3 linked regions of the Lytechinus pictus genome follow. The protein of the gene in region 2 purifies or fractionates together with the protein of the main gene of each other region. This does not show direct contact. Links are inferred from orthologs where the notes say so. Each region holds a gene or a part of one and is shown on either strand. Other genes may lie near its edges. The genes, in order: exportin-1-like, regulator of chromosome condensation-like and ran-specific GTPase-activating protein-like.

What was found.
Region 1: the proteins of regulator of chromosome condensation-like (region 2) and exportin-1-like purify together in Homo sapiens (affinity purification with mass spectrometry; 3 studies listed by BioGRID and IntAct, with this or other methods). This does not show direct contact. The link is inferred for Lytechinus pictus from reciprocal best matches to the Homo sapiens genes RCC1 and XPO1.
Region 3: the proteins of regulator of chromosome condensation-like (region 2) and ran-specific GTPase-activating protein-like purify together in Homo sapiens (affinity purification with mass spectrometry; 3 studies listed by BioGRID and IntAct, counting the BioPlex papers as one, with this or other methods). This does not show direct contact. The link is inferred for Lytechinus pictus from reciprocal best matches to the Homo sapiens genes RCC1 and RANBP1.

Annotation. Positions count from the first base shown.
Region 1 is NC_087251.1:44,094,602-44,105,722, forward strand, and holds the start of exportin-1-like, read left to right. Parts: upstream 1-6,548; 5' UTR 6,549-7,083; intron 7,084-9,743; 5' UTR 9,744-9,782; coding exon 9,783-9,908; intron 9,909-10,517; coding exon 10,518-10,619; intron 10,620-11,121. UniProt on the Homo sapiens protein: Mediates the nuclear export of cellular proteins (cargos) bearing a leucine-rich nuclear export signal (NES) and of RNAs.
Region 2 is NC_087261.1:5,081,837-5,093,133, reverse strand, and holds the start of regulator of chromosome condensation-like, read left to right. Parts: upstream 1-6,488; 5' UTR 6,489-6,605; intron 6,606-11,297. UniProt on the Homo sapiens protein: Guanine-nucleotide releasing factor that promotes the exchange of Ran-bound GDP by GTP, and thereby plays an important role in RAN-mediated functions in nuclear import and mitosis.
Region 3 is NC_087246.1:7,320,970-7,331,857, forward strand, and holds the start of ran-specific GTPase-activating protein-like, read left to right. Parts: upstream 1-6,151; 5' UTR 6,152-6,366; coding exon 6,367-6,375; intron 6,376-10,888. UniProt on the Homo sapiens protein: Plays a role in RAN-dependent nucleocytoplasmic transport. Alleviates the TNPO1-dependent inhibition of RAN GTPase activity and mediates the dissociation of RAN from proteins involved in transport into the nucleus.

The sequences.
Region 1 (11,121 bases), on a different chromosome or scaffold from region 2:
TTTGAAATCTGAAGTCCTTATGGATATAAAGGTCATCAGATACCACCCATCATATGAGTATGCTGTTAGGTTACTAAGTCAAAGTCAAAGGTTACTTCAGATCAATTAACTGATAAAAATGTTTTGTTTTCGAAAGCATTTAATCAAAATAAGTGAAACTTATGTGAGTTGGTTATTGGATATTGTAAATGATATAAAATGAATAATGTGTTTCCTAGCCAATGTCACTTTATCCAATAAATGATTTGTCTCTTATTTTTAAAAATTATTCCTCTTATTGTTTCCATATCCCATAAAGGTTGTATAAAAGGAGTATGAAGTTCCAAGATGGAACTGTCCCTTCTTGGTCTGGGGTTATTTTATTGGACATTCAAAGGGTAAATGAAAAGAGAAAATGTTTGGTATTTCAAGCATTCACCCTATTTGTTTTCATATTCTATTAAAGCCAAGGGGGCCTAGCCCCCCCCCCCCCCCCACACACACACACCAAGAGAGAGAGAAGGGAGAGGGGAGAAAAGGAAAGGAGAGGGGAAAGAGAAAGAGAATGAAATTTGGGAAAGCGAGGGAACAAAGATAGGATGCGGGAAAAAAAAGAAAAAGGGGAGACTAAAGAGAGAAAGAGAAGCAAAAGAATAGAAAGGGAGAGGGGAAATAAATGAAGGAGAAGCAAAGAAGCAGGGGAAACGGGTAGTTCATAAAAGGGGACTGGGCAGGTTGGTAAGAAGTCGGGGCTCTTTTTATCCCCCTTTTCTCACAAATGAATAGAAGGTAAAACAATGAAGAAAACAAAAGAAAGTCCAGGTACGAAATGATCTAACCTTCGGCAGGCGCGGATCGAGGGGGCCTTGCGCTCTCCCCCCCCCCCCCCCTGCAAAAGAAGAGAGAGATAAAAGGGGATGAAAAGAAGTGGAAGAGAAAGACATAAGAAAAATTGATAAAGAATACAAATAATGAAGAGGGAAGAAGATGCCTTGCCCTGCTCCCGTCCACCATGCCAGAAATAATAGCAAGCTCAGCTCTCCCAGTAACATAGATACAAGGGAGCATAATGAAAGTAGAAGGAAAGGGAGAAAAATGAGAAAGAACGGGAATAAAGAGAGAAAGAACGGGAATAAAGAGAGAAAGGAAATGATCAGCCGATAGAGGAAGCTAGCATTAAAGGGAAAATATCAGTCTTTTTTCACAAACTGTGAATCTATAAAGCCCTTACCACCTCTTTATTACAAATAAATTTAGATTAGGAAAGGTAAATTGAAAGATAAAGTCGTTCTCATGGGCCGAAGCAGCCAAGGCCTCTGCATTGGCCGCACAAACAAAGAGAGATATGGGGGGGGGGGGGGGTGAATGAAGGAAAGGAGAAAGGGTAAAGTATAAGTATAATCACAGGAAGAGGATTTACTGGAAGAAAAGTTAAGAAAATGAGAGGAAAAATATAATTGTCAAATAGCAAACCTTTCATTCTTTTTAGATAAACGACGATAACTGTTGCACTCTATAGTACAGGCCGTCAATTTTATCAAGACGACCCCTTCCGACCGGCTTTGGTTCTTCGATAAGCCAATTAATCGAGGAAATGTAAAATATTTTTTCCCACTTTCCCTCTCCCACCGCCCCTAGTGTACTCTGGATCCGCCCCTGGGAGAATTTGCTGCACGGCAAGAAAATTAATTAAAATACAAGTCCACCCCAACAAAAAGTGGATTTAAATAAAAAAAGAAAAATCCAACAAGCATAACACTGAAAATTTCATTATAATCGGATGAAAAATAAAATTTTCACAAAACATGCAGTGATATGCACAACTTGGCGACATGTAAATGAGACAGTAAGTTGATGATGTCCCTCACTCACTATTACTTTTTATTGTTTGAATTATAATATTTCATTTTTTACAGATTTGACAATTAGGACCAACTTGACTGAACCATATAGTATTAAACATTAATTCCACATTTTCAAGTGGAATTAATCTTGTCGATCAAGACGTTCATTGAGGAGAAAATTAGAATATTTCATATTTCATATAATAAAATACAAAAGAAATAGTGAGTAGATGACATCATCAGTCTCCTCATTTGAATACCGACCAGGATGTGCATATAACTGTTTTGCGAAAAATATAAAGGGAAACTTTAAAATGTCATAACTTTCTTATTTTACATCCGATTTTGATGAAATGTTGAGTATTTTGCTTGTTGGATTTTTCTCTTTATATTCAAATCCACTTTTTGTTGGGGTGGACTAGTCCTTTAAGCATTATTCCCCGGGCATTATTCTCAGTGTCATATCGGTTGACGACTTGACGTACTGATGCTAATTTCAAATATTTCAAGACCACTAAAATTAGTAACTCGGTCTTTAAAATCTTGTTGCTATAGAAGTGCCTTAAAACCTTCAATCCAGGCCTTCATATCATGTTTGGACATGGGCGGAAATCCCAGGGGGACAGGGGAGACGTGTCCCCCCTACTCAAAATAGTAGGGGGGACACAATATCAAATGTCCCCCTACTATTTTTGGTTTTTTATGATGGTAAGAAATACATCATTCTAAAGCGAAATAAAACATGTATTTTGGGACGAGATGACCTTACTTTTGGGATGATAACCTTTTTTTGCTTGTCAAATTTTCCCGCCCCTTGTCCCCGTAGGCGGACCAGGGGGCCGAGGGGTCCACCCCCCCCCCCCCCCCTCTTGGCGGAGCAAAAAAAAGAAAAAAAGGGAAAGAAAGAAGGAATAGAGGGAAAAGAGAGGAGAAAAAGAAAAGAAGGACGACGAGTGCATAAAATAAAATGAGAGGAAGACTTGGAAAATAAAAATAATCTTTCGTGCCACTATATAAAATTTTCGCTCGCGCTTCGCGCTCGCATTGCCTGTTAGATGACTTACATATCTTGTTCAATATGGAGCTCGAATGTCAAGTTTAGAAGTCAATATACAAAACATATTTCACCTCGGAAATCGAACTTCATTATTTTGTGTGATTTACAAATTGATTTTTAAAAAGTGCTCTGTAAAAATGTCAGTTTTATGGTCTGAATATGAACATTTGCTGCTTGCGCTGCGTGCTCGCAAATTATGATTTTTCAGGTACCTATTATTTTTCATGAAGTTTTCAAAATATCCCTTTTCAGGTCTGATTGTTGAGACGTAAAAATATCAGCTAGCGCGCTGCACGCTCGCATTTTGATTGGCGAGTTATATATGTTTCAATATTGATTGTACAACAAACTACATAAAATCCCCTTTTCATGACAGTTTATCAAAAATTTTAGCTCGCGATTTGCGCTCGCATTAATGGTTAAAAATATATAAACTGATGCATCCTATTCATAATTACAAAAGTAAAATGTCCAGTTTTTATGCCATAATATCAGATTTCGCGCCCTTATTAGCAGGAGGGGGGGGGGTGGCCTGTACAAACATCCCCCCACTTTTTACGAAAGAAATGAAAAAAAAAATCACAAGAGATAATTGTTTTATTGGTGAAAATTCTTCCAAAAATACCGCTTATCAAATAAAATAATATTATTGAATCATAAAATGCAAATAAAGAGCCAGTTCACCATTTCCAAACAAAATACTTATGTCCTTATTATAACATTGAAGAGAAACCCCCGTTTCTTCCAATTCATCAATGTTGGGGTCTTTGGGAAGGGATTAAGATAGAATGTCAAAATTTTTTAAAATGTAATCTCTAATAAAACCATTAAACCATCATGGGGTAAAAAAGATAATAATATCGGAGGGGTATTTGCCATATGGACATACAGTGGCGTAACTACGGGGGACATGGGGGGCACACCCCCCCCCCCCCACATCGGCTGACCAAAAAAAAACGGGGAAAGGGGGGAAAGGAGAAAAGAGGGAGAAAGGAAGAGAAAAGTAGTGGGAAAGAAGAAAATATTATTCATTATAATGTTATATTATAATTATGTTAAGTTACATTACATAAGAAACATTTTTATCATAACTTTATGAAACATAATTTGCCCAGGGCCTACGTCTTCATTGTTCCTGGTGCTCGCATTGTCTGTTTAACGAGATATATAATCCTGTTGTACTAAAACATCCCGTTTTCAAGTCAATATAAACCAAATATATTTCCTAGCACTTGAGTTATCATTGTTTTATGTAGTGACATATGCTTCATTTTCATGACTCAAAAGTGATTGCCCCATGTTAAGGTCTTCGTATATATGAAACATTTCCTGTCCGTGATTACGTTCGCATTAGTGGATTGGTGAGATATGTCTGCTCTTCATGAATTCCTAAAATCGGTCCTTAAAATGTAACTTCTTCTGATCTGAATATAAAAAAATTTCAGCTCGCGCTTCGCGCTCTCATCATTTGATCAGTGAGATACATATCCGTTTAATGACATTGTCCTTAAAATGTCTCTATTAGGTCACTCACTCAGTCATTCAAAAATTTTGCTGGTGCCCCCCCCCCCCCCCCCAATACCGTGACCCACGGTACTCCACTGTCAGTGTGGACATATCAATGACAATTCCTTGCATATCTAAAAACATGATTGCAAAAAAAAAAAAGCCAAAATATTTCAGTCATCCCCCCCACCCATCAACACGGATTTACGTCAGTGCTTATTAGGCATTAATAAATATGATATTAATTGAATAATCAAATTGTCCCTTTTGTTTCATCTCGCTTAGCAAGAGGAATAGGAAGATAGTCATCATTTTCATATGATGACATGTCGTAAGGATGTCCCGGTCCTATGTCAAAGCTCAGAGTAATAATAATGAAAATATCAGCTCTTTTTTAAGTGCGATCCATATCCACAAAGTGCTTCTACAAAGTGCTTGAAATATAAAGCTGAAATTGACTCTTTTTTCAGATCGGAATATCAAAGTTTCATGATTTTCATGATTAAAGATGTATATAGAATGCCTATAGATTCTAGGTCTAAATATGAAACACGCGCGCACATGTTAATTCAGATACTCAACTTGTTCTCTATTTAAATCATTATCCAGTTTCAGATCGCAATATCAAAATTGTTCTGCTCGCCGTGCTCGCATTATTGTATAGGAAGACCCCATATTACTCATCCTTTTCATGATTTACAAAACATGAACAGAGTGGCCCATTTTTAGGTCTAAATCTCGATTTTTTTTCTGCTCGCACTTCCCGCTCTCATCAATTATTAAATTATATAGCTATCCTGTTCACGATTACAAAAATGATTAAAATTTTCCATTCTTTCTCTAGAAAGTTCAAAAATTTTCAGCTCGCGCTTCGCATTCGCAGTTTTCTATTGTTGAAATATGTAACGCCTTCATGGCTAAGTGCAAGCAGTCCTTAACAGTTACCTTTTCAACAGGTACCAGTTCAAAACGTATATAAAAATTTTCTTTCATCAATTGTTTACTTAATTACCTATTCTGCTTGAGTTACAAAAAGTGCTTAGAATTTCCATTCTTTAGGTGAAAAAGTCAACAAAAAATTGCTCACGCTTCGCGCTCGCATTATTTGATAGTTAAATGCTACTTTAACAGGTATTTTTTCCATCAGTTCATTTGCATGTACTCGCGCTTTGCGTTCGTAGTAATTATTAAGTTGCGTACACATCATTTTTCAGGATAACAAACATTGCCCAGAATGTTCAAATTTTAGGAAAAAATACAAAAAAAAAAATCAAAAAATTGCTTGCGCTTCGCGCTCGCATAATATAAATAAGGATTATGATATTACATATAAATTTATAAGAATAAAGCTAAGAAGTGACTAATGAGGACTACCCCTTCAAAAAAAAAAAATCGGGGAAATTATGGCTGAAACAAATTTCCGCCGCCCCCCCCCCCTATTGGCGAAGGTTGGATCCGCCCCTGTGTCCCCCCTACCTTTTGGGAGAGATTTCCGCCCCTGTGTTTGGACATGATAGAGCTAAGACTTTGGCGTCTCGGCAGATCGACTAGGCTAGTGCAATGAGCAAGCTGATCGGTGTCATATCCCCACTTAATCTTTAGTATTTGATTAAATAATTTCTCCTCCGCAGGGTACGGTAAGATTGACTAAACTGAATTAATATTAAAGAAAATTATTGCTGCAACTGATCATGATACAAGGGAGACAATTCGAGTACACTATATGAAAATGTGAATAGCATTATACGAAAAAGGAAAGCATTGGCACTATCTTGCATGTTCGATTATTTGCATATGGGGGCCCCATGGGGCATGGTCTTATTTCACAATAGGCCTAATATACAGTATTGCTAAACTTTGAAATTCAACTTTGTTGTTTTGTAATAGAGAAGCGTTGTGGTTAGTGAATTTTTACTCTGCTTGTTTGGGTATCATTATTTCAGCCCGAAATACTCCATCATTGAGCGACCAATATAATACAACCATATACAAATTTAACATAATGATAACAATAAACAGGTAACGGGCATGGTACCCAGCTGTCAACCAATCATATTTTAGAACTGTATACTGTTTTGCATGTGAATTCTGAAGCTGCGCCCTCTACCTCGCTCTATCTGTATATATCGCAACTCGAAAAGCGCCCGCGAATATATATATTCCTCTCTGCTCTTCCAAATATGTAATGCGAAATAACAAACTTGACCCTTCGCTCCACATTACATCGTGTTGATTAAGAAGCTCATTACTGCACATAAACATTAAACAATTTGTATCTTCAGTTCATTATATGATTGTGAATTATAAGTGTGATAATGTATCACTGAATATTTTGATGGATATGATTTTCGCAGTGTGCAGAGATACTACTCGCGTATACGACAGCTAGCTGCTGCTGCGCCGAACTGGTTTTGACCGGTTTTTATTCGCCAAAAATTTCCATCACTCGAGACGCCGAATTCGTCGGATGGAGATCGAAGCTGGATTTACTCTGAAATATCTTAATTTTAAATGGCTGAAACATCCTCGAATTGCCAGATAATATAGACAATTAATGAAATGAAAGCTTGATTCACGAATGCTTTAATGTAAGCGTCGTGTGGTATCCAGGTTAGCAATTTACAGAGCAGATAGTTCACGTGGGTTCTGTACTCGTCTCGGCGGACGACGGCCAGCAGCGGAGAGCTATCATAGCAAGTAAGTAAAGCAGAGAGGCCGCATTCTCATTGGTCCATGCATGCTAGGGTCTTGCCGAGTGAGTGTACAGCCCAGCGAGCCAGCTCCAGCTGGCATCGTTCGAATCAGCGATCAGCTGAGCTCTCACTCAGCTAACCCAAGCCCAAGGAGCTTCGGCGCCGCCCCTTCGACGGTGGTGCTCATTTTAATTAAGCCTGGGGCCATGCTGCTTGTTGCTAGCTGATGAAGTACTATGCTAGGCCTAGGGCCTGGACCCGATGAAAACTAGTAAAGGCCGGGGTGCCGGGTGGTTATGATTGTAAAAAAATTGTAAAAATTGTAGAGACAGCTGGCAGCCGTCTGTTTCGAGGAGTTCTTTATTGATTTTTAAATTTCAAATTTTTTAAATTTCTCCTCGTACACAGACGGCTCGCTATCGTGCAGCCACCATTACTCATTAGGGTAGGGGACTTAAAATGCAAATTCCCCCGTCGGGGCTCTTCGATTTTTGTCTTTATTTCATAAAAATATTTAAAGAGAACTGTACCAAAAAAAAGAAAGATTATTATCATGATTCCTATTCCGTTTTGGCCTGAAAAGTGAAATGCACCAAAACGGGGAAAAATAAACTTAAAAGGGGAAAAAACAGTGACTTACTTCGGCTGTCGCGCAACTTCACTTCCCTGTTTTATCCGAACTTGATACGGCCATTGAGTCCCCTGTACAGATCGAGCTAGAACTTCGGTCTCTGTATTTTGGTGAGTGGAGCCAACGGAGTTCAGCGGAACAATAACAGAGACCGAAGCTTTTGGTCTAGATCAGTAGATGTAGATCTATTCTAGGTCCAGATCAAGACCTGAAATTCTGAATTTGCACAGTTTACCATTTTAACATAATTTTGTTAATCAGAAAAATATGATTCATTTTGATTTTGAAATCTGAGTTTTTTAAATGTATGGTAAGGGGACCTAACTTAATTGATGCTACGCGGGTCCTAAAGCTACGCACCACTCATCGCGCATGCAGTTTTTAATGGCAAATGTGCACTCTGTGTGTGGCCAGTGACGAACGATTCGATTCCTATTCAATTGTTACTACAGAAGCTGCAGTAAATCTCTAATTAAAATGCAGCGAAAACCCACAAGTCACAACTGTTTGGAATTTTGGAGTTATATTCGCTTTAATTTCATTTTATCCTATAATAATGTGAACATATTTTAGAAATTGAGGCACAGGAAAAATGCTATTTTTTGCATGATAAATCGAGTGCGTAGCTTTAGGACCCCTTCGACATCGGAATCAAGAGGTGTTAAAAAAACACTGGAATTTACGTATTACGTGAGTTTTGCAATATTTTCTTTTTGGCTAATGATTTATATTTGCCACAAATTAGTGAAAGATAATTTGTTCAATAATTAAAATTGGCATAGTTTTTCAGGGGCCACGGAACGGTTTTCGAAGTGGGGGGGCTGACCATGCAAAAAAATCACAATCATATGGTAATTTTTACGTTTTTGTACACGGTTTTGGAAAAAAGTGGGGGGGGGGGGGCTGAAGCCCCCCGCTTCCGCGGCCCCTGTTTTTATCGTTTGAAAACAAAGTGCTTAGCTTTAGGTCCCCCCATCATAAAACTAAAAAGGGGGGGATGTTTTCTGAGTTTTTAGGCTAGGCCTTCAAGGTCAGGGGTTATGTTGTTTTTTTGGGGGGAAGGGGAAGGCATGTCTGCATTTGAGCTTAATTAAAATTAAAGCCAAGGTACTAATTTGCAGTTTCGCACCAGCCGATTTCGAGAGAATTTCCCCACCAATGGTTGTTTGCAAAAGTTAATAGCAAGTCTCAATCATATTTCAAGGCCAAGATAGACTACCCACCACTTTTCCGAACATCGCAATCAGGAACGGCTGTATTTCGGCTTCGATCTCGACATCATTCAAGTTCCCAGTCAGACATTGCTTCGCTTGGAGTTGGATTTGCTGTTATTTTGATAAGGATTGAAATAGACAACCAAAAGTTTTTTAGCTGATATCAGATTTTTTTTTTTCAGCTTATTTTTGGCTTTCTTCTGTTCAAAAATATGAGAGCTCTTCCTATTTCAGACTTTTTCATCACTCTTCAGCTTTTTTCAGATCTTTTTATTTGTGACTACTCACACCCCTGAATATGTAGACTGATACTCTAATGTTAGACCTATTCATTAAAAAAAATCTGACTAAAGAAATGGGAAAATATTGTATTTCAGGCATTTCAGTCGAAAGCAGCCATTCTCAACAAAATCCTTGAATCATGTGAAAAGTGAATGTGTGCTTATAAAATTTTGGCTCTATTTTTTTGTTCAGTTTGAAAATGTTTGGCTGAGGATTCTTTAATCTGAAAATGATTGGCTGAGGTTTTTCAAGAAAATCATATTTGAAATTTTTCTGACATTTGGGGCACACTACTCAAGAATATATTATATATCAACTGGAAATTATGATGGAATTTTAAAGAACTTCATGTTTCATCTCAAGTCAAATTTTTTAGGTGCATAGACATTATGCACAGACAAGGGGCCACTGCATAGGCAAGGATTAGTGAAATTCACTTGGAGGGGGGGGGGGTACCAAAACAAAAATTCTCCTTTAGAATGATAATTGCTGCTTAAAAACCATGATTCAAACCTTTTCACCCTTATTTTTTTTCAGGCATTCGCTCTAATCCAGACATCTTGTGTAGGTGAATCAATGCCTTCACAGAGCATGGCAACGTTGGCTGAGCAGGCTGCAAAGCTGCTCGACTTTAGTCAGAAGCTTGACATCAACCTCCTGGACACAGTCGTTGGTGCCATGTATAGTGGAGAAGGCCCAGAAGTAAGTAGACAGTGTTATTATATGCCAGGGTTATACAGTTAACTTTGCCTGTCTCTGGCGTTTCAAGGGAAATGCATTCTTTCAGTTGTATTTTATATTATCTTTTGCCATATGAAATAATAATAATATTACATCATGATAATAATATTGCTTAATAATAATTAATAATAACAACAACAATATATTATTATTATTTATGATGATATGATGATGATGATGGTGATGATGATGATGATTACTCCAGTTTGTTCATGAAACAATAGATGGTCTGGTGCCATATAACATTTGGCAGCGATCCACATTAACTCATTTCCAGGGGCCTGTTGCATAAAAGAAAAGCTCTGGCAATTATTCAGAGTCAAGGGAGAAGGTAGTGTTAGTCATTTCATTGGTAGTGTCCATTAAATGATAGTACTATCAAGGTAGGATGGAAACGAGGAAGATATTTCATGGACATGAAAATGTGAAATTTTAAGCAACCGGGGTAAGGGTTTATTTCCCCCTTATATTGGGTTTTTGCCAAGCTATCCCATGGAATTCCATGTTCATAATCTGACAACTATAGAAATAAGAAACTGAATATTTATTTTGCCATCCTTGCCTCCACAGCAACAAATGGCCCAGCAAATATTGACAAGTTTGAAGGAGCATCCCGATGCATGGACAAGAGTCGACACCATACTTGAATTTTCCAGCAATCAACAAACCAAGGTTTGAATCGAACCCAATTTGCTACATCATCACTAACAGGGTGTTGCAAGAAACTTGTGATTGATTGTAGAACAATATTAGGTACCAATTCAATTGAAAGTCGTGCACTTCGTTGCAAATTGCAGTGGATTGGTGGTCTCTTTCTCGCGTCAAGAAATTATCTTGCTTTAGTCAAAATTGATCTATCACTTGTTCATTTGCATCTTAAATTTGCAATGGATTACAATTATTTTCTTGCAACACCCCCTAAGTTCAACTCGAAGTATTGCTTCCTATGGAAGCCATCTTAAGTGTGAATAACCAACTCAACAATATTCTGAATGATAAATAAAATCATTATTTATTTGCCTGTTTTTATTTGCTTGGTGACTGGATGCAGTATATTTTAGATGTGCAGGTAACAGCATTTGTAAATATACACCTATGATCAGTTTTTCCAATTTTAAAGGTTGATTAAATGTACTTAAATTTTTTTTTGTATTCTCCTAGTAAGATAAAGGTC
Region 2 (11,297 bases):
CAAGGGAGTAAAGTGGTTAATTTTCATCAAATTCTTATAATTATCAATATACTAGGATGATGATGGGAATTGCCTATTGCTGCATTGCACATTCTACAAAAATAATTGTTTACATATTCATTGTTTAAATGCCTTTATAATTATGTCATTTTACTTATGTTTGAAACATGCTATTTATATTTTGTCGTTCATAATAATTCGTTGTGCTGAAGATTTGATATTCACTGTGTGAATGAAATAAATGAACAAAAATATCATATTCATACATGGCAATGATTTTTTTACCATTCAAATTCCTAAGTAATATTACTTTAGTTTCGATCAACCATGTAAGATAATGTGGCCTAAAGTTCAAGAGTTGTAAAATGTATTTTACAGTGAAGAAGAAAGATGGTGAAAGGGGGAGGGGTGTTTAAAAATCGTTTATACTGTGAGTTGGGAATTAGATGTGTGTTATGTGTTGGAGAAAGTGGTTGGGGAGCTGACGATGGACCAGAAAGACAGAAAAGGGGGGGAGAGAGATGGGGGCACCGGGGAGGGAGGGAAGGATCGAGGGAGAGGGGGTAATTTACCGCCTTACAGCGGTTGTAGGGGAAATGTGACTCCAGCAGCTGCAGTCACATTTCCCCTACAACAGCCGTTCGGCGGTAAATTGCCAAAAGCAACTCGTCTTCTAGTCTCACCACATGATCTTCTTTCATTTTGTCTAATGCCATTCCATCCATCAACATTTCGTCTAACAACCATTTGGTCCAATCACACTTCGTCTAATCACTATTTTGTCTATGACCATTTCGTCTCATAACCAGTTGGTCTAATATTTCATTTTCATTCATTTTGCCCAATTAACACTTAGTCCAATAAGACCAAATGGTATATGGACTAAATGGCTATTGGACCAACTGGTTATTAGACGAAATGAAAGGAGACCATGTGGTGAGTGGACGACTGATGGTAGACCAAATGATAGTAGACGAGTTGGCAATTGGACGAATTGGAAATAAACCTGTATTATACGGAGAGTCGAAAACAGCAATCTAACCATTTTTTTTGTACCAGCTACGTTTGAATAAAATTAGATAAAATGGTTGTTTTCCACTCGCCTTATCGGCGGCCGGAGGGGGAATGTGATTATAAAATAAATGAATTTCGTCGAAGGGATTGGTATAAAGAAGAATGAATGAGGACATAAAAGGGAGTCGCGAATAATAGAGAGAGTGGGAGAGGTGAGAGGAATTCTCGGGCCAGGAGAAAAGCTATGATTAACAATAATGGGGGGTCGTTGTTGCTGTTCTTCTTCTCCTCCTTCGTCTTCTTCTTCTTCTTCTTCTTCTCCTTCTTCTCCTTCTCCTTCTTCTCCTCCTTGTTCTTTTTCTTCTTATTCTCCTCCTTCCCTTTCTTCTTCTATTTCTCTGTCATTCTCTCTCTCTCTTTTTTTTTTTTTGGGGGGGGGGGCTTAATTCCCCCTTCCTCCGTCTTTTTCTCCCACCCCATCTCATCCTCTTCCCCTTCTCCTCCTTCTTCATGTTTCAACATTTTGTCGATTGTTATTTTTATATTTTTTTTAAAGGAAAGGGGCAAGGGTGATTCTTTATTCACCTGTGAAAAGAGACATGTTACATTATTTATGAATTTGGACTGGACTTTCAATAAAACACTCTTGCCACTTCAATGCTTTATTGCGTCAGGCGATGCTCTTACTGCCATCACCGAGTTGATTTATTTACCGTTGCTTGGTGACAGTTTCCGATTGGATCGCCCTGGTTAATCATGGTCTGAGAGGGTGAACGACAGCCGATGGAAAAAAAAAACGATTTCGATATTGTTGTCAATAATTAACGCGATGCTTATTGTATTGACCTTTACCTGGAAAATACATAAGCGATTTCGTGAAAAATTGATAAAGGCCTTTTGAAGAAAAAAAGAAACACAATGCATTCGTGTGTATAGTGTATACGGACGAAATTGTGTATTTTTGAATCATTTATCATTGCATTTGTTTCATTTGACATAATGCATGGAGGGGCTTTTAAGGACGATCTTTCTCTCTTTTTCCCTGCTCCTTCCCATTTCTCTTCTGCACTCTCCCCATCTCTCTATCTGCTTCCGCTTTTGTCCCCCATCTCTACCCCGCCCTTCTCTCCTCAAACTCTTCTATATACAGTGCGTCCCACAAAAAACGAAACCGAGATTTATCGATGATTTATCATAACTTAATCGCAAATACAATAGACAAATGACCTACCATTTTAAAGCTTAGAATCTCCTCTTTCATTTGAAATAACTTAAATTATTTCTCATTCACGCATGAGTGAGCAAAAACAATTTGAAAAGGGGATACCAAAAAGTCACTTGGCGGGCCGTATCTGGGTTTTAAAAAGAAAACCACATTTTAAAAAAGTTCAATATCTGCTCTTTAATTTGATACCTCAATTACAGAAAATGGTCAAGAAATAACAAAGTTCTGGTTATTTGAAATAAGGCTTGAATTTCAATAATTTCATAAAATGAAGAGGTTTTACAGGCTAGCGTTCAAACTCACTCGACACTCCGTTTTGTTGACGATCAGCCATGCATTAAAGGGGAATCCAACCCAAATAAAAACTTGTTTTTATAAGAAAAAGATAAATCAGACAAGTTGATATGTGAAAGTTTGAACAATATTGAACAAACAACAAGAAAGTTATGAATTTTTAAAAGTTGTAAATATTGGTAATCACTATACTCATGGAGACTTCAAATTGGCCACATATGGGATGTCATAGTGATGTAAGGCAAGGACTACTCTTCCATGTACTCCATTACATATTATGGCTAAAATGTCATTTTTCCGAAAAGTTTTATTTCAAATTACATTTTTCTTTTATGAGGACATTTAACAATATACCACCTGGGTTATATTTAGATTACTGCCCCAGGGGAATGGGTACTTAGGAGAAAACCACAAAACCCTGATAATAAAGTACATGGCCTATGGGAAAGTTGTCCTTGCCCCTTGTCATAATTTACTTACCCAGTTGCCAATTTGAAATCTACATACTATTAGTGATCCCAATTTTAAAGCAGCTATAACTTTCTTATTGTTTGTCCGATTTCTTTCAAAATTTCACCATTCTGTTTAATTTATTTTTCTCCTTCCCAACACAACATTTTATGGCAAAGGCTGGATTCCCCTTTAAGTCTTTTGTTACCGTGCGATAGCTTCTGTGGGAAACCAGTGAAAACACGTTTATTTAAAGAAGAATGAAACCCTTGAAACCAGCTGAATCTATATCAAAGAGAAAAATCAAAGAAACATATTGTTGAAAGTTTGAGGAAGATTGAATGAATAATAAGAAAGTTATGATCATTTGAATGATCGGATCACTAATGCCATGTAGATCCTCCCATTGGCAATGCGACCAAGATCTGTGATGTCACACACGTACAACTCCCTTTATTTCATTTATATTCTCACTTTTATAGAGTCTATCACAATGTGAGGTGTTCTCTTTATGAGAGGAGAAGTACAGAGGTTTCACAACATTAAATCATTGATGAATCGTTTGTCATATGATTAGAATGAGCAAAAAGAGATGTTTTGGGGTATATTTTCAGTGTCCAAAAGGGGAGAGTTCTTCACCTGTGACATCATAGATCTTGGTCGCATTGCCAATGGGAGGATCTCCATAGCATAAGTGATCTCGACATTCAAATGCTCATAACTATTCTATTGCTAGTCCTATTTTACTCAAATTTTTGTTGATCTTATTTTTTGATTTTTCTGCTTTCACAAAAGCTAACTTGCTCCAAGAGTTTCATTCTCCTTTTAATGAAATTATGGAAATACAAGCATTGACAATTTTCTGTGATTTAGGTATCAAAGAAAAAAGAAGATATTGAACTTTTTAGTCATGTGATTTTCTTTTTGAAATTCAGATACCCCCCGCCAAATGAGTTTTTGGCATCCTTTCTTCGAAATCTTTTTGCTCAATAATGCGTCAATGAGGAATAATCTAAGTAATACCAGATGAAAGAGGAGATTCTAAGCTTTACATTGGTAGGTCATTTGTCTATTTTATTTATGATTAAGTTATGATAAATCATCGCTAAATCTCGGTTTCGTTTTTTCTGGGACGCACTGTATATATATTGGCTCATTACGCTTCATTAAAAGAAGTGAGAAGCGCGAACAACTGTTTGAACATTCACGTTCTAGGATATGCAAGCGTGAAGCGGAATTTTGCATTTTGATATAGTGTTAAAAACAAGTTTGCTATTTGCCAACTCTTCCCCTTTTAAAATTCTTCACTTTTCTTCCTCTTTTTAGTATCCCTCCTGTGTAATTGTCTTATTTATCCCTTCCTTGATATATCTCCTCCTCCTCCGAATAAGAAGAATAGGAATAAAAAGGAGAAAAAGAAGACGAAGGAGGAGAAGTAGGGGAAGAAGGAGAAGAAAAAGGAGGAGAAGAAGAAAAAGATCGAAGAAAAAGAAGAAGAACAACAACAAGAAATGATATACTATTTACAAAGACAAGACGAAGAAGAAACGAAAAATTAAGAAGAAGAAGAGAAGAAGAAGAAGAAAAGAAGAAGAAAAAGGAGGAGGAGGAGAAGGAGAAAAAATATCGAAGAAAAAAGAACAAGAACAACGTCCAACAACAACAAGAAATGATATACCGTTTACACAGATAACAATGCATATACAAAATGAAATATTGTTTGTATGATTTATCACAATAATAAAGACCAAATTATGCTGCCATTACAGAAAGTGAAAGGTTAAATAACAGAGTGCATGAGGAAATCATTGTCTATATATAAAAATAAAGAAATAAGAAAAAAAAAAGTTGTCTTTTGATTGTGGCTTTTGAAACTGGACCCAGACGAATAATTAACTTGAATCTGAAATTGAAAGAGTCCAGGAGGCCGTTGCATAAAGCTGTTCATAAGTTAAGAGCAAGTTTAAGAACAACTGGTGAAACTTTCTTACTCCTAAACCATCGCCAATGAACATTTTGGTGTACAGTATACCATTTACAAGAAAGGTTAACTAGTCGTTCTTAAAGTCGCTCTTAACTTACGAACAGCTTTATGCAACGCCCTCTGGAATCTTGATTATTCCTTTTTACCTATTTTTTTTTATTTTGTTACTATTTTGTTTTTGTTTCTGTTATCTTTCATTCACCCCACTTTAGTTTTTTTTTTTTAGGTTTTCGTTTTATGCACGGCCTCTCTGAAAACAAGCCATTGGCTGATCGAGTGCTGTTTTACCGTGTTTAAAACTTTAAACAAAATATATCAAATCAAATCGAATCAAATTCGAACAAAGCGGTGCATAAATAGGTAAAAGTATTAATGTGAGCATGAAAAAGTAAAATATCAAAGTAAATTGATGTTTCTATCATGGACAAGCGAATATTCAAATTGAATACAAGTCATATTAATGCTAAAAAAAAATTATGGTGATTAAAAACTAAACATATAAAATATTTAAAAAAAACTTAAAGAACTGAAACTTAACATATAAAACCATTCGCAAAATTATGTGTACTGAAAACAAAATATATGGAACGATTGCAAACTAATATTATGGTAAACAATGATAAAAAATTGTCAGTTGATGTGTAATACAACAAATTAAACAGAATGATACTCATAAAACATTTAGTAATCCATATTACGACGGTATCCGTGTTTTCAGCATCACTCTAGAGACTAGAAATATATAAGTATACCACCTAAATTTCAAGATCATAAAATTATTGTCTTAAATGACACGCCCTCATTTTTTAAATAAAATCATCTGAGGCATCGATCATAAGGGCGGGGGGCAATCGCCCACAATGAAAATATTGGAGGGCAAACATAATTACCGATTTGCTTCCCTCCCACTTTTTTTATCTTAAAAAAGAAAAAGGGAATGCAAATACTTTATATTTTTTAAAGGCATTGGAAATTAATATAAAACTATCCAACTTGACATAAAAATACAAAGTTGTCAATATTTCGACGCGCTTGTGCTTAAAATACCAGCCAGTTTTGACATTCTTTAAATTGTATATTTGCCCATCGACCCCCCCCCCCCCCGTGCTCCATCCTGAAACCTGGATAGTGGATTACCATTATAGTTTCTTTTTAAAGTTATGTGAAGTGGAGTTTATTCATATTATTCACTTGATAAGAGATGATGAATTTATATCAGAGTTATGCATAATACGTTACCATGCTTATGGGGGGGGGGGGGGGGGCTTTCACCATAGATCATTCATTGCTTCCAAAACAGACAGAAGTTCAAAAGCATCAGTGATATGTACAGTATTATGATTCTCAAAGTTTTTGGTATTTTGTTTTAGAAATGATATTAAATTTGCTGTTTGTGTTTTTTAATTGTTCGAATAAACTCAACCTATAGGCCTACTCAAAGAAAATTATTGACAAAATTAAAACCACTTAATATAATAAATTTCGGAAAATTCCATACGCATGCGGAATCCCAGTTTTTCATTTCTGGCTTTATTCGCAGAGCTAGAGATACCATCGAGTTTTAAACGGAGGCGGCAAACGTGTGTTACGTGCAACTCTTTTTGTCGGAGAAAACAAAATAAAGCTTGGTTTATAAAGGTCAGTTTCCAACTATTGACAATATCACTTGTTTTGAAGGATGAAATAGATATTATTATTTGTGTTTGAAGTGCTTTGTATGTTTTGGTTGTGAGATAAGCTAAACAATATTTCGAACGAACTTCGCACAATTAACATACCGCATACAACGCGATTATGAATATGTGGGCGCAGTGTTTCTCCTCGGCCTCGCGGCTTGACCCGTCGCGTTTAACTTCAAAGTTCAAGCGCTGCGCCGCGCTATCGCATTTCCTGTACCGTACCAGCTGAGAATGAGTGTCACTATTTCAAGCCAGGCGGCGCGTTAACTGTCTCCCGTTAATATGTGAGGTCATTTCATGCTTTTGGGGTGGTATTCTGACTGAGATCCATTTTATCTCAGAATCAGATCTAATAAAATATTTTATCTCCTTCAAAATCAGTGAGATAAAATACCCTTAAAATCTCTCCGAATTGGTATTTTGAGAACAATTTTATCTTCATTATTTTTAGATATCTGGATCTGGATGTACAGTGCAGGACCGTTAGGTTTAATGCACCGGGTAAGGAGAGGGCGCAAATAGTTTAATGCACCGGGTAAGGAGAGGGCGCAAATGAGTTTAGTCGAAACGTAGTGGCTTTCTTCGATCTTAATTTATTCTTGGCTTTAATAAACTGTAACACCTCTGGTGATGTACCGGTACTGCTGACAACTTCGTTAGGGAGTTGATTCCAGGCCAACGAACGTTGTATTCACAAAAAAAGAATTTCTTAACTGCTCTGCGTTACATTAACTGTCTTATTGAGAAAATGACTTGGAGTTATTTGTTACTTGTTTCTCTACCACATACAACATAGTTAGTAGCATCAAAGTTTACAAATTTCTTAGCTTTGATATTACGTTATAAATGTCTTGCTTTCATTAGAAATTTATCAACAGGAAGGGCAGGAACCAACCCCTCGACCACTTTGAAGTAGAATTAGCTAAGCCAAATGAATTCTTTTATTTTGGAATAAACCACAGCTTATTTGTACTCATTTTGAAGGGGATATAATTTTCTATCTAAGTAATAAGAGTACAGTTTTTCCTAATAACTAAAGCTTATTTAAATTAACGCATAATCCATTATGCAAATATTAAAAATGTTCTGCCAATGATCTGGTGACGTGGCGTGATGCATGTGGAGCGTTGTGGCCCAGTGGATTAGTCTTCGGACTTTGAAACAGAGGGTCGTGGGTTCGAATCCCAGCCATGGCGTAATTTCCTTCGGCAAGAAACTGATCCACAATGTGCTGCACTCAACCCAGGTGAGGTAAATAGGTACCGGTAGGAAGTAATTCCTTAAAAAGCTGTGTGCGCTATGAACGCCTAGCTTAGCCGGGTAATATAGGAGCGCCTTGAGCACCTAACAAGGTGCGCAATATAAATACCCTATATTATTATTATTACATTATATATAATAATAAATTAGACCAAGATTGCCAACAATCTTGGTCCAATGTATATACATTTAATTGTTCTAGACTAAACATGCTGAATCATATTTCATCTTGCCATCTTACACCCTAATTAGCATCTAATTATATATGCAAATGAGCAGCATTTAGCGCATAGGCTGAGGTGAACTTGTATTCACATTCATAGTAGGTCTACCTGTGACTGAAGAATATTCTTGCACTAAGTTTTGTTCTGATTGGAAGTAAAATTCCAGTCTCCACTGAAACAAATTAAAGATGTGCATCAAGCAAGTTCTGTTATTGTGCACATTTGCATTTTATTCCATGCATTAATTTGCATATTAATTACAATTAGCTGTTGTGTATTTCACGATATATGTGTGCAAATGGCAGAGTGGTATACACACACAAAACAATTAATAATAAATCAGAGGGGAAAATATCAAATGAAGGTAAGGAATTAGATCAGAACACCAATCAATTAATAGTAATAAAAATATTTAGGTACTACAAGGGTAGAGTTACTTTTTTAAAAAAAAGGAAGAAGAAAACCCTTTTACAGGCTTCATCAGCAACCCCCCCTAACCACCATGTCCTGTCTCAATTTTATTTCTAAGTCTTATGTTCAAGACAAACACAGCACCCCAACACTCTTTTAAAAAGATTAAGCCCCTTACCCCAATAAACAAACACACAGTCACAGAACAACACAATTCCTCAGCCCCCCCCCTTCCCAATCACCTCAAATTATAATTTTTTTTACTTTCTCTTTTCCTAATTCTACTTTTGAATAGATATAAAGTTTCCATCAAGCAGCTGAAATCATCAACATGACAGGACCTAAATTTCTTTTGCCATTAAAAAAATGATTAAAATTGATCTTGAGAATCATTGGATACACTTTTAAAACTAAAAAGCAAGATTTGTATACTTTCAACCTGAATTTACATGATTAAAGACTATTTCAATCATCAGCAGAAACATTGTCAGCAAATTTATCTATATGTGGGACTACATCAGAAATAACTTTCCTATTGCCTTCCACCCATATGGTTATCGAGCTACAGCCTTCCAAAGTGCGGGGGAAAATCCGAAATTTTTACGCTCATAATCACTCTTCTCAAAAAGCAGAAAAAACAGTAGAAAAAATCAAATATTTACGAAAAATTCTCGGAAATATTCTTACCTTCGCGAGAAGCCATCTTGCATGTAGTATCGAAGTGAAAATCTTGCAAAAGACGAGTTTACCCACAACCCTCAGAACCCGGAAGTAAACAATGCTGCTAACAAATATGGCGTCGATCACAGAAACTCCCCGGCGAATGCGAAGTTCAGAACCCTAATTATCTCATGACGATCGCTTGATTCAGATGGAAATGGGCTGGAATATGGAAAATGTAAGTGGAAATTACATTTTGACTATTGCTGTTTTCGAAATTTCAACATTTCATTTCAAAAACGATATGTAAAGTCGAGGCCAGTCAGAATAGGAACCCCAGAAGTGCCGATCCGTTTGGCATCGCTAGTAGAATGTCAGTTTCAGGACTTGGCGTCTTGAGGCAAGAATAGGCAGGTTAATATTCTCTCTCATCTTGGTAATCGAACCTGGTTCTTCGAGAGCTGTAGTCCCCACAGATGAACTGTACTGCTCTACGCTGTGTTTTCTCCAGACATTGGATATCCTTCTGAAGATAGGGATCCCTCACACATGCACCATATTCCAGGATAGATCTGACTAGTGCAATGTATGCTGTGCGCTTGCAGTTCTCTGGGCAGAAATTTAGGTTCCTTCTGAGTAAAGCAAGGACAGAGTTTGCCTTCCTCACAGCTTTGTCGATCTGGGGTGACCACTTCAGATTGTCAGCTAGTGTTACTCCAAGATATGAATGTTGAGATACATGTTTAAGTATACAGTCATTTATGGTGTAAAAGTATGAGGTTTTGGCATTTATTTATGCTCATAACTTGGCACTTGCCAGCATTGAACCTCATTCCCCAAGTGGATGCCCAATTTTCTAATGCAGTAAGGTCCTGCTGCAGCTTATGATGGTCTTGTTGAGACTTAATCTGTCTACACAGCACACAGTCATCTGCGAATAAGCGAACCTGTGACTGGACAACATCAGGGAGGTCGTTGATGTGGCATAGAAATAACAAGGGTAAGAGTACTGTCCCCTGCAGCACACCTGATGTTACTTCCTCTGGGTTTGAATGCTCCATCAACTACAACCGTCATTTCCCTGTGTGTTAGGAAGGATGTAAGCCACTTGTGTATCGAGCCATCTATTTTGTAGTTCGCTAGTTTGTGTAGGAGTAGCGAGTGAGGCACTGTATCAAACGTCTTAGCAAAGTCTAGTATGATGACGTCTGACTGTACTTTCTTGTCATGGGCAAGAAGGAGATCATGTACTGTGGTCAGTAGTTGAGTTTCAGTTGAATGACCGGTCCTGAACCCGTTGTTGAGAGACGACAAGATACTGCTTTCTTGTAGATGTTTGAAGAGGTGCTTACAGATGATATACTCAAGCTGTTTGCAGATCACTGATGTAAGGGAGACTGGTCGATAATTTCCAGTTGAGTGTACATCACCTTTCTTAAAGACTGGTGTAACATGTGCCTTCTTCCAGTCAGATGGTACTCTGCCCAAGTCAACCGATAACTGGAAAAAATCTGTAAGTGTAAGACACACCTATTTTTTAATCAATATCCAATGAGAAACGAACTTTTAGTTTTATACTTACAGCTCTCTCATCTCACTTAATCAATGGAAATCCATTCCGCCAGGAGGTGTGGCAAAGCCAAAGTAAAGGAGTGAGATTGCATTAATTTGTTGACTTCAAATACGCTTGCAATACGCTTGCGCGTCTTTACAGAGATTTCTTTTTGAAACTAAAAGAATGGCAATAGATCTACTCTCATCTTTTTTTGAAGTCACATCTTTTCAAGCATCATTTCATAGACAATATTATTATTCAAGAAAAGTCTTATGAAATAATTCCTGATTTTGTACTAGAAGTACTACAGGAATAACGTTAAGGTGTTATTCTCAATAAATATATAATTTTTCTTCAATGAAATGTCAACATTTGGAGTTAATTTACCGAGAAATATTGATGAAATCAACATCGCTGAAATAAAATAGCCCCTACCCTCTTTTAAGTTTATTTTATTTTTTCTTCATGGGGGCAAGCACATCATCCGCATTGCAATGGTAAAATTCAATTCAATTCAATCATGGTTTATTTCGCATAAAAA
Region 3 (10,888 bases), on a different chromosome or scaffold from region 2:
GCAGTATATGAATGAGAGTCTTTTCTATGTACAATGTAATGTATTTAATGATTAAGAGGCTTTTCTATGTACAATGTAATGTATGTAAAAATCTGTATGGTCTTTCACACATGTCAAACTTAGTAATGAAAATATCAGGTTGAGAGAGAGAGAGAGAAAGAAAGAGAGGGGAGAGAGATCGTATGTTTAGCCATGTCTTACTACCCGAGTGCAATACCGTTTATTTCTTCCTTTGGTGTAAAAAGTAAAACCAAAGCTCAGCCTTAAATAATAACTTCAAAAGTTTGGCAAAATATGTCAACTTTAAACTGATATCTTAATAGAGCTTGTGCTTTATGTTGTGCTAGTGAATATTTTAACCTTATAGAGGAGACGGAGGGACTTATAACATAAACATTCATGCACAAATTTGACTGCTCAAATTAAACAAATATGTTTATAGCTAAACTTATAAGACAACATGACTATTTCTTTTTTCTGATGAATCAATGACTAGTTAATAGTTTTTAATATTTTTCTTCTTATAATATATATACATATATGCAAAATTTTATCCAGGGTGTGGCCCATATATATATGTATATATGCCCCACCCCCTGCGATAAACATTTACAAAAATGGTTAGGAGGAAAAATGTTAATGTATTTTTGTTTTGTAAAGGATGTTATCACAACCTTTCAAGACGATATTGTATTTCAATTGAGAATATTATAGTGATTCACCATATAGTGACTACCCGGTGCTGGTTTCTCCACTCATCATATTTCATTTATTCTCAATATCATTATGGACCTGAATGATTATGATATTTATGTGTTTTGTTGTTATGGAATTTTAAATCTGATTATGATTTCATTTTATACATGGTCCATGAAACTTGTTTAAGATTGAGTATAACATGTAAAATGTATGAGATGTGAAGTGCCATACTAGTAATTATGTATATAATTGCTTTTCAAATGTGAACTGCAAGGTTGAATATTATAGATTGTAAATGGCATTCATTTGTTAGCCACTGCCAGAACTGGCAAGTTAGTTGATGTATTTCAAATTTGAAATTCATTGGATTATCAGAAGCGTAGATTTGAAATTATGTTAAAATCTAATCTGGTGCATTTAGAAATCAATCCGAGTTATGATAATTTCAAACATAGTTTTTGTCAGGAAAATTTTTACCTATAAATGCACACAGACCCAATGTATTCATATTGTAGTTTTTTATTACAATATAAAAAAATGCCATTGAATAGGTCAATGGTTTTATTTCCTTGATTATTGTATATCTATCTATGTTTTGTTTTATATTAGGCACAGGTACCTCTAAAGGTATCCAGTCACATTTCTTGCTTCAATTATGGTAGGTGTCTTGAAATGTCTTCATATGTCAAGTTTAAAGGTGTGTTTTAATCTAATATTATTTTGTGTGCAAGATAAGCTGTCTTTCAAAGTTCTATGTCATCTTGGTTTAGCATTAGCTATATTTATTAGCTATGAAGTTATATTTATACTGTAATAAACAATAACTTTTAATTCACAAACAGTTTCAAATATTTTTGTGAGATGTGTAATTGATTTCAATTTTTGATAGTGTTTGGTATGTGACAAAATGTCATCTAAGTGGTATCACTTTCAGATATCATTGACATGCTTCCCTGGTTGTCTGTTTGCATAGATACTTTCCAGTTTGCACATAAACAAGTATTTTTGAAAAGGGATTTCTTAAATGTTTGATATAACATTCTAAGATTATACATGATAGAATATTTGGGAAAAAAAAAACAGAATTCAAGAAAAGTTGATATTGAATATACTAATTGCCAAATATGCCAGTTAAGATATGAAACTCAGGAATGTTGCATAGGTTTCACTCTCAGGAATTCAGGAAAACTTTTCAGAAATTGATTTACATGGATACTGGACCAGTATCAATGAGATTTACCTCCAGGGATAGTCACAAAGCTAGTTTTTTTTCTTTGAAAAAGCACAATAAAACAATAACTCCTGTACATTTACTATCGGTACATCCAACAATGAGTAAAAAACAAAAACAAAAAAACTAAGATTGTTCTATCACACGGTTTCAGTCAATTTCAAGTAATATAAAGAAAGGGGCAGATTTTTTCAAAATATTATTTATTCATCCATTGGTATTTAAGGGTTCGCTTCTTAAGTTAATATCTTCCTCCTCTATGTTTCATGTGTCTTTGAGAGAGTGATTAAAGGAAACATGTCTTTATCCCTTATAGACCTTACAGTTTGAGACTAGTGGAGTGTTACATGAAAGGACTTGTCAGATGTTTTATCTGACAAAGTGTGTTTCTCAGCCAATCAAAATCAAGGATATTTGTCTGATAAATGTTGATGAAATGCTCTCCTGAATTCTTCATGTTGTTGATGAGGCCTATGTATTTGATTTATTTTTTTATTGAAATATTTCTTAGAAATTTCTGTTGAATACACCTTTTGTAAGTGAAATTGATGAAAAATAATTAAGAGAATCAGGGTCTCAGTTTTATAATTATGAGGGGAGCAATAAAAAGCTCTTCTAAAAGTTTTAAGGGGAGCGGTAGAGGAGCACTGCAAAAAGCTCTTCTTTGACTAACAAGGGGATTTTTTTTGTCTGAAATTAAAAAGTGGATGGAGGAACATACACTTAGTTGCAAACCACAACTTAGGAAACAAACAATCAGATGTATAGGCAACATTGATCTCAATGAACTTTTTGTTGTCATTTTTGCAATGTGTGTTATTGCCTTTTTGTATGTCTTCTAATTTGACTTAGAATGAGGTTTTCAAGCTTGGCTCTTAACAGTTCAATCATTGACTGACACTCTTATTCTATTTTCAGGCTAAGTGATGTCAGAACAGAGTCATATGGAAATAAAATGTAGAAACAATTTTTAATTGTGTATGATGTTGCCTGTTTTCAAATTTTTCTGCATTTATCATTTCATATCACAAAAAAAAAAAAAATTCGCTGAGGTGAGCAATAAATCGCTCTACCTGAAATGGTTTAAGGCAAGCAGTAGCGAGTGATCACTCTCCCCTGTAAACTTAATTTTAGTCCCTGGAGAATCACAGTTGTCAAAATGTGATGAACTTTATAATGTTACTAGAAAATTTATATTTGCTAGAATTGACTTGTAAACTGGTAAACTTAATGAGATGGAAGGGAGCTGTGAAAACTTACAACTATGATGAGTTTATCAAAATGGTGTAAAAAATGTTATGCAACGTTGTTTACTATATGAACCGTAGGCCTACAATAGGTGTTTAACAGTATAAACAACCATGCTTTATTTATTGAGAATTACATATTAAAAATTGAACTTTGTTGTGTAAGATTTTAAACACTTTTAAACAGGGGAGTGATATTCAAAGATGAAGTCGAGGAAGATCATAAGGAAGAGGGTGGCCAGGAAGAGAGACTGAGAGAGAGAGGGGAAAAGGGGGGTGTAAAATAACAAAATAGAAGAAGGAAGAGTGGTGATGGTGAGAGGAGGAAGGAGATTTGAGGCAAGGGGGGGGGGGGTTGTAACACTGAGGAGGAAGGAAAATAGAGGAGAATGACAGGTGAGAGAGATAAGGAGATACTGAGTTAAATGAATAAGAAAATGGGTTGAGATGGTAAAAATAAGAAGTTTTTCTCTCCTCTGATTTAAAAATGAGGTAGAAATTCACTTTGAAGAGTAGAGTCGTCATTGTAAATATTAAGCTAAAATCAAGAACTTCTTTATCATTCTCAACAAAAATAGTATGAAAATTGTAAGCTATAGTTACATCATTGCTCTCGCATTTGCGTAGACCTATAACCCATTTACTTTTCTGAAAGTAAAGTTTTATAATGTCACATCTATCTTATTTTCCATCCGATCTTGATTAAATTTTCAATGTTATGCCACTTTTACTTGTCTTTATTAGGTCCATGATTATAGAGGTGGGTCTGAAAATAAAGTGTGATAAAAATGAAAGGACTGGCGCCCCGCAGTCTGCAAATCAGTCTCTGGAGCCACTGCCCTAGACGCAAGTCCCGATGTCTATTTATATCACCCCCGGCAGCAATTTCTTTTTGTTCATCAGTAGGCCTATTTGTCAGGGTTTTTTTCATAAATATTTGAGGCGACACGAAACAGGATATTTGGTAATTTCAGCTCGATCGGTGTGGCTCTCCGTTTTTTTTCGTGCAGGGGTCGGTGGTCAGGGGGGGCAAGAGCAAAAAATTTCCCGGTCATATGGTATGAACAGGTGTTAATGAGGCGACGATTTTGAGAGGGCCAGATATTGCATATCGGGCAGAATTTATCTTTTAAAAAAAAGTTGCGAGCGAGCAAAATATCTGACATTTTTAATACAAAAATCCAATTTTGTGATAGATTTTGACATGATATCCAGAAAATGATATCACTCTTCTCTCTTTCCATTCCTTTTTTGTGGTCTGTTCGCCACTGTGAGCAGGATTCTTTGCGGCAGTAGCGTGAAGAGTAAAAAAAAAACGAAGGGCGCAGTATGGTGCATGTGCTAAAAAGCTGCTTGATACAAGTCCCGAGCGAGCAAAGCGACCGAGAAAAAAAATCACCTTTTTATTAGAATCTAGTAACTTTGAGATATTTTTGTTGACATTATATTCAGCAAATAAATCATATCCTACACTCTTCCTTTGCTTTTCTTTCCTCTTTTTTTTTGTTCTTAGTTGTAGATTTTTTGGGGCCATATGGCCCAACCCTTCCATACTCATATACAGAAGTCCTATGCGGTTGGGGTCTGGGATGGGGCCCCCGGAACTTTTTGATATCAATGCCATTAAACACTCGCAGATCGCCGCTATTTTTAATCAAATCTCGGATAAATGCAGAATATAGCTTTTACACAACACATTTATTCAACCCAGTTGCGTAATGAACCAAATATTTTGAGGGGGCAAAACAGCTAGCAATGTGGGAAATTTGTTTTTAAAAAATCGCCAGCAAGTAAAGCGAGCTGGAAAAAAAATTGCCTATCAAATTCTAATTATGTGATAGATTTTTCCATTATATTCAGCAAATAACACATTTTATTGTTTCCATTCATTTCATTTTATCTCCTATAATTTCTTTTATTTCCTCTTGGGTGTGGAACCAAGACCCCCCCCCCCCCGCCTGTACGCCAGTGATTGAACGTAAAGCTAAATGTAGGAAGGGTCCCTATTACAGGGGCGCCTAGAGCCATTTAAAGGTTATAGATGAAGAGCCCCTAAAAGCCGGCCCGGTAGCTTATTTGCATAAAATTTATCAAGCTTATAGCACAATGTTGAATGCTCTCCATCTTTCTTCCCGCTCTTTATTTTCTTGTCCCTTTTCTTTGTTTTTCAATTTAGCTTTTGACTAAGATCCATTCAACCTTCATTTCCTGCTATTGTTTGCCATTTTGTCATATTTTAGTTTATTTCCCATCATGCTATTGCATTACATAGGCCTATTTCGGAATGATTTGTTCTTTCTCAAATGCTCTTCTTTCGTTCCTTTTCCCGCTTTCCATCCTTTTCCATTAAAAAATTCTTCGTTTTCTTTTCACTTTTCCCTTTCCTTTTCCTTCTTTCCTTTTTAATTCCCCTTTCCTTCCCCTTTCTCTTTTTTTTTCTCCCTCCCTTTTCTCTTTTTCCCCGTTTTTTATTTTCCCGGTGAAATCCGCCAGGTGGCAGGGCGGGGGGGGGGGGGGGGGGGGCTGTTACGCCACTGTCCACTAGCTTGTTCTTATTTGATTGTATGAAGCAAGGTTTATTCAAAGATTCTACCAAGAACTAAAACAATTGGATCGACAACTGATTAAGTGCATTATTAGTTATTTATTGCCGCAACTTATTTCATCATAATGGAGACGCATCATGTACTCGTATGAAAAAATGAAACATTTATGATTTCATGTAATAACATAATAAAATTAGGGAAAGTGGAAATGTGACATCATCAGCCCACCTAATGAATTTTCATGACGATGTGCATATCCCTGTTTTCACAAAATATTGATAAACTTTAAAATGCAATAACTATGTTATTTGTTATCCGTTTTGACGAAAATTTCAGTATTTTGCTCTGTGAATTTTACTTTATTTATTTTAATATAAATGTCTTCAGCCCGGACCATCCCTTTGACCAGCGCGCGCTTTAGCTGGGGTGGGATGAATGCGCTGTATAATTCATAATAGACAGTAACTCGTGATTCTCATACTGAACTCGTTAGGATATAGGGTATGGTTCCGGAATTACTGTCTATTATTTATTTCTATTGCACAAAATACGTTCATCGTACGTAAATACCTAAATTGCAAAATTTCATTCATTCGTATAACTGTCCGATTCTTTGTGCATCCGCCGACATCCACCTAACGAAATGGCAGATGTGAGTTTTTGATTTGTTAGAATGTGTCTTAATGTGTAAGATGTGATTTTCAAATGAACTTTGTCACGATTCGACATTTCTTATCCGTAAACCGCATAGATTTTCACATGTTGTGTTGCGTGAACTGAATGAGTCCTTCGTGCAGCTGTACTGTCTGTAGCCGTCATAACTGAGTGAGCCTAACATGACTAACGTTAGCTCCTAACATTAGATGAGCATCTAACTAACTTATTATGGAAAAGAGATTTATTATATCGGCTTGTCCACAGACATGAGTGAAGAAATTGAAATAGAATATTTAGGTGATCTGTCATTCCTGTCAATCGACAGGACAGATCAACTACACTATTTCGTACAAATTAGGCCTAGGGCTAGGGCCTAATTATTTAGGCCTAAATCAAAATATTTAATTTATTTATATTTTTCCACCCTTGTCCCACTCACGCGTATTGCAAGGTTAGTAGTATACTAACCTCGCACCATGAACCGCGTTTGGCAGTGGATTTCTAAATTCTAACTAGTGGGTCGCGCGTGCTGGGATCTCACTTCTGCCTGGACCTGGTGTCCACAACACACGACTTCTAGTTCTATGGCTTGATTTTTTTGTGCGCGGCTGCATGTAATGAACCCTTTGGACTTTGGTGCCCTTGTCCCACCAAAATCTGGGCCTAACTTACATCTTCAATTTTTCTCAAAATATCAGTTATGGGGACATGTCAGCCGTCTGTTTCGAGGAGATTTTTTAACATTTTAAATTTTTTAAAATTTCTCCTCGTACACAGACGTAGCCTGGAGGCGTCTTGGGGAGTAAAAGTAATAATACTCTATCACTCATGTATGGTCACTCCCGAGCTCCCCGAACGCCTGGCGTTTGTACATAGGCTCCCATGCACCAAACAGTACTAGTAGAGGCGCACGGCCAATATTGGAGACTGTCTCCAAAATGGGAGATTATCTCCAATATCAGAGACTTTTGTAAAGAATTTGGGTATCCAATTTCAGAGACAGTCTCCAGTTTTGGAGTCCAATTTCCTTTGTTTACATTTGCTGCAAAAGGATTAACTTGGCGGCAAATAAAAATATGATAAGCAGATTCCTCATGAAAAATTACCCCTTTTCACAGTCTACTTTAAAAATTCACCGTCTACTTTTGTTTTGATAAGGATTTTTGTTGTCAATCACACACAAAACAAATGGGCTTCTGACCTCAGTGAGACAAAATTTTGGGTGGAAAAAATCATGCTTTTGTTGGTGTTGTTTCTTTTGTCCTTTTGCAAAGCAAGTCTCCAATGTGGGAGATTGTCTCCCCTATTGGAGAGAGTCTCCCATATTGGCCGTGCGCCTCTACTGCCAAAGAAAAAGGCAACTATAAAAATGCGCCAAACTGCTAGTTATGTTTAGAATCTGAGGTTAACAGTAATGTTGTAAATCGGATCAAAAATCAGATCGAAAATCGGATCGGCAGTTAAGCTTCTAAAATCGAAATCGAATCGAAAATCGAATCGGCGATGTTTAAAAACAAAGGAATACATCAAAATGTTGTTCGCGGTCGCGCGCATCTTCCTGACAAAGTCACAAAGACGAATGCATTGGAATGGAAGTCGCCAACATGCGCGATCGTTTGGAACATGTTTTAAAGCCAGGGGTTTTGAGGTGTTATTGCTTTAAAATAAACCGAGTGATTTTTATTAGAAAGATAAACGAAAGACGCATCTTCCGAGCAAAGGCGCAAAGGAAAATAAAATGAAAATATTCATCATAGATCACAGGTTAATGAACGATCGGCGGGACATCTTTTAGAAGTATTTTTAGGTGCTAGCGATTTAGAATTATTGGAATGATCTCTTACGACGCATCATCTTAAAGTCGCAAGTGCAATTAAAATGAAGTAGAAGACGCAAGCACGCAAGATGATTTGAAATATGTTATTAAAATGTTTTGGGTAGCTAGCGTTTTCAAATCAATTTGAAGTTCACGGCGGGGTCCGCTATCACCACGAGGTTGAAGAGAAGATGTCTATCATCATAAAGGGGGTAAGAGAGTAGCGCAGTGAGCTCCGTCGGTAATACGACCTTTCAAAATTCACGGCGGCATCCGCTATCACCACGAGGTTAAAAATAATGTTGTAAATCGGATCAAAAATCAGATCGAAAATCGGATCGGCAGTTAAGCTTCTAAAATCGAAATCGAATCGAAAATCGAATCGGTATGTTTAAAAACAAAGGAATACATCAAAATGTTGTTCGCGGTCGCGCGCATCTTCCTGACAAAGTCACAAAGACGAATGCATTGGAATGGAAGTCGCCAACATGCGCGATCGTTTGGAACATGTTTTAAAGCCAGGGGTTTTGAGGTGTTATAGCTTTAAAATAAACCGAGTGATTTTTATTAGAAAGATAAACGAAAGACGCATCTTCCGAGCAAAGGCGCAAAGGAAAATAAAATGAAAATATTTCTCATAGATCACAGGTTAATGAACGATCGGCGGGACATCTTTTAGAAGTATTTTTAGGTGCTAGCGATTTAGAATTATTGGAATGATCTCTTACGACGCATCATCTTAAAGTCGCAAGTGCAATTAAAATGAAGTAGAAGACGCAAGCACGCACGATGATTTGAAATATGTTATTAAAATGTTTTGGGTAGCTAGCGTTTTCAAATCAATTTGAAGTTCACGGCGGGGTCCGCTATCACCACGAGGTTGAAGAGAAGATTTATATCATTATAAAGGGGGTAAGAGAGTAGCGCAGTGAGCTCCGTCGGTAATACGACCTTTCAAAGTTCACGGCGGCATCCGCTATCACCACGAGGTTGAAAATAAAATGTATATCATCATAAACGATGTAAGAGAGTAACGCAGTGAGCTCCGTCGGTAATACGACCTTTCAAAGTTCACGGCGGCATCCGCTATCACCACGAGGTTGAAAATAAAATGTATATCATCATAAACGATGTAAGAGAGTAACGCAATAAGCTCCGTCAGTAGCACGATCTTTAAAAGTTCACGGCGGGGTCCGCAATCACCACGAGGTTGAAAATAAAATGTAAATCATCATAAACGATGTAAGAGAGTAACGCAATGAGCTCCGTCAATAGTACGACCTTTCAAAGTTCACGGCGGCATCCGCTATCACCACGAGGTTGAAAATAAAATGTATATCATCATAAACGATGTAAGAGAGTAACGCAGTGAGCTCCGTCGGTAATACGACCTTTCAAAGTTCACGGCGGCATCCGCTATCACCACGAGGTTGAAAATAAAATGTAAATCATCATAAACGATGTAAGAGAGTAACGCAATGAGCTCCGTCAATAGTACGACCTTTCAAAGTTCACGGCGGCATCCGCTATCACCACGAGGTTGAAAATAAAATGTATATCATCATAAACGATGTAAGAGAGTAACGCAATGAGCTCCGTCAATAGTACGACCTTTCAAAGTTCACGGCGGCATCCGCTATCACCACGAGGTTGAAAATAAAATGTATATCATCATAAACGATGTAAGAGAGTAACGCAATAAGCTCCGTCAGTAGCACGATCTTTAAAAGTTCACGGCGGGGTCCGCTATCACCACGAGGTTGAAAATAAAATGTATACATCATAAACGATGTAAGAGAGTAACGCAGTGAGCTCCGTCGGTAATACGACCTTTCAAAGTTCACGGCGGCATCCGCTATCACCACGAGGTTGAAAATAAAATGTATATCATCATAAACGATGTAAGAGAGTAACGCAATAAGCTCCGTCAGTAGCACGATCTTTAAAAGTTCACGGCGGGGTCCGCTATCACCACGAGGTTGAAAATAAAATGTAAATCATCATAAACGATGTAAGAGAGTAACGCAATGAGCTCCGTCAATAGTACGACCTTTCAAAGTTCACGGCGGCATCCGCTATCACCACGAGGTTGAAAATAAAATGTATATCATCATAAACGATGTAAGAGAGTAACGCAATAAGCTCCGTCAGTAGCACGATCTTTAAAAGTTCACGGCGGGGTCCGCTATCACCACGAGGTTGAAAATAAAATGTAAATCATCATAAACGATGTAAGAGAGTAACGCAATAAGCTCCGTCAGTAGCACGATCTTTAAAAGTTCACGGCGGGGTCCGCTATCACCACGAGGTTGAAAATAAAATGTAAATCATCATAAACGATGTAAGAGAGTAACGCAATGAGCTCCGTCAATAGTACGACCTTTCAAAGTTCACGGCGGCATCCGCTATCACCACGAGGTTGAAAATAAAATGTATATCATCATAAACGATGTAAGAGAGTAACGCAATAAGCTCCGTCAATAGTACAGTCTTTAAAAGTTTATGGCGGGGTCCGCTATCACCACGAGGTTGAAGAGAAGATTTATATCATTATAAACGGGGTTAGAGAGTAGCGCAGTGAGCTCCGTCGGTAATACGACCTTTCAAAGTTCACGGCGGCTTCCGCTATCACCACGAGGTTGAAAATAAAATTAATATCATCATAAACGATGTAAGAGAGCAACGCAATAAG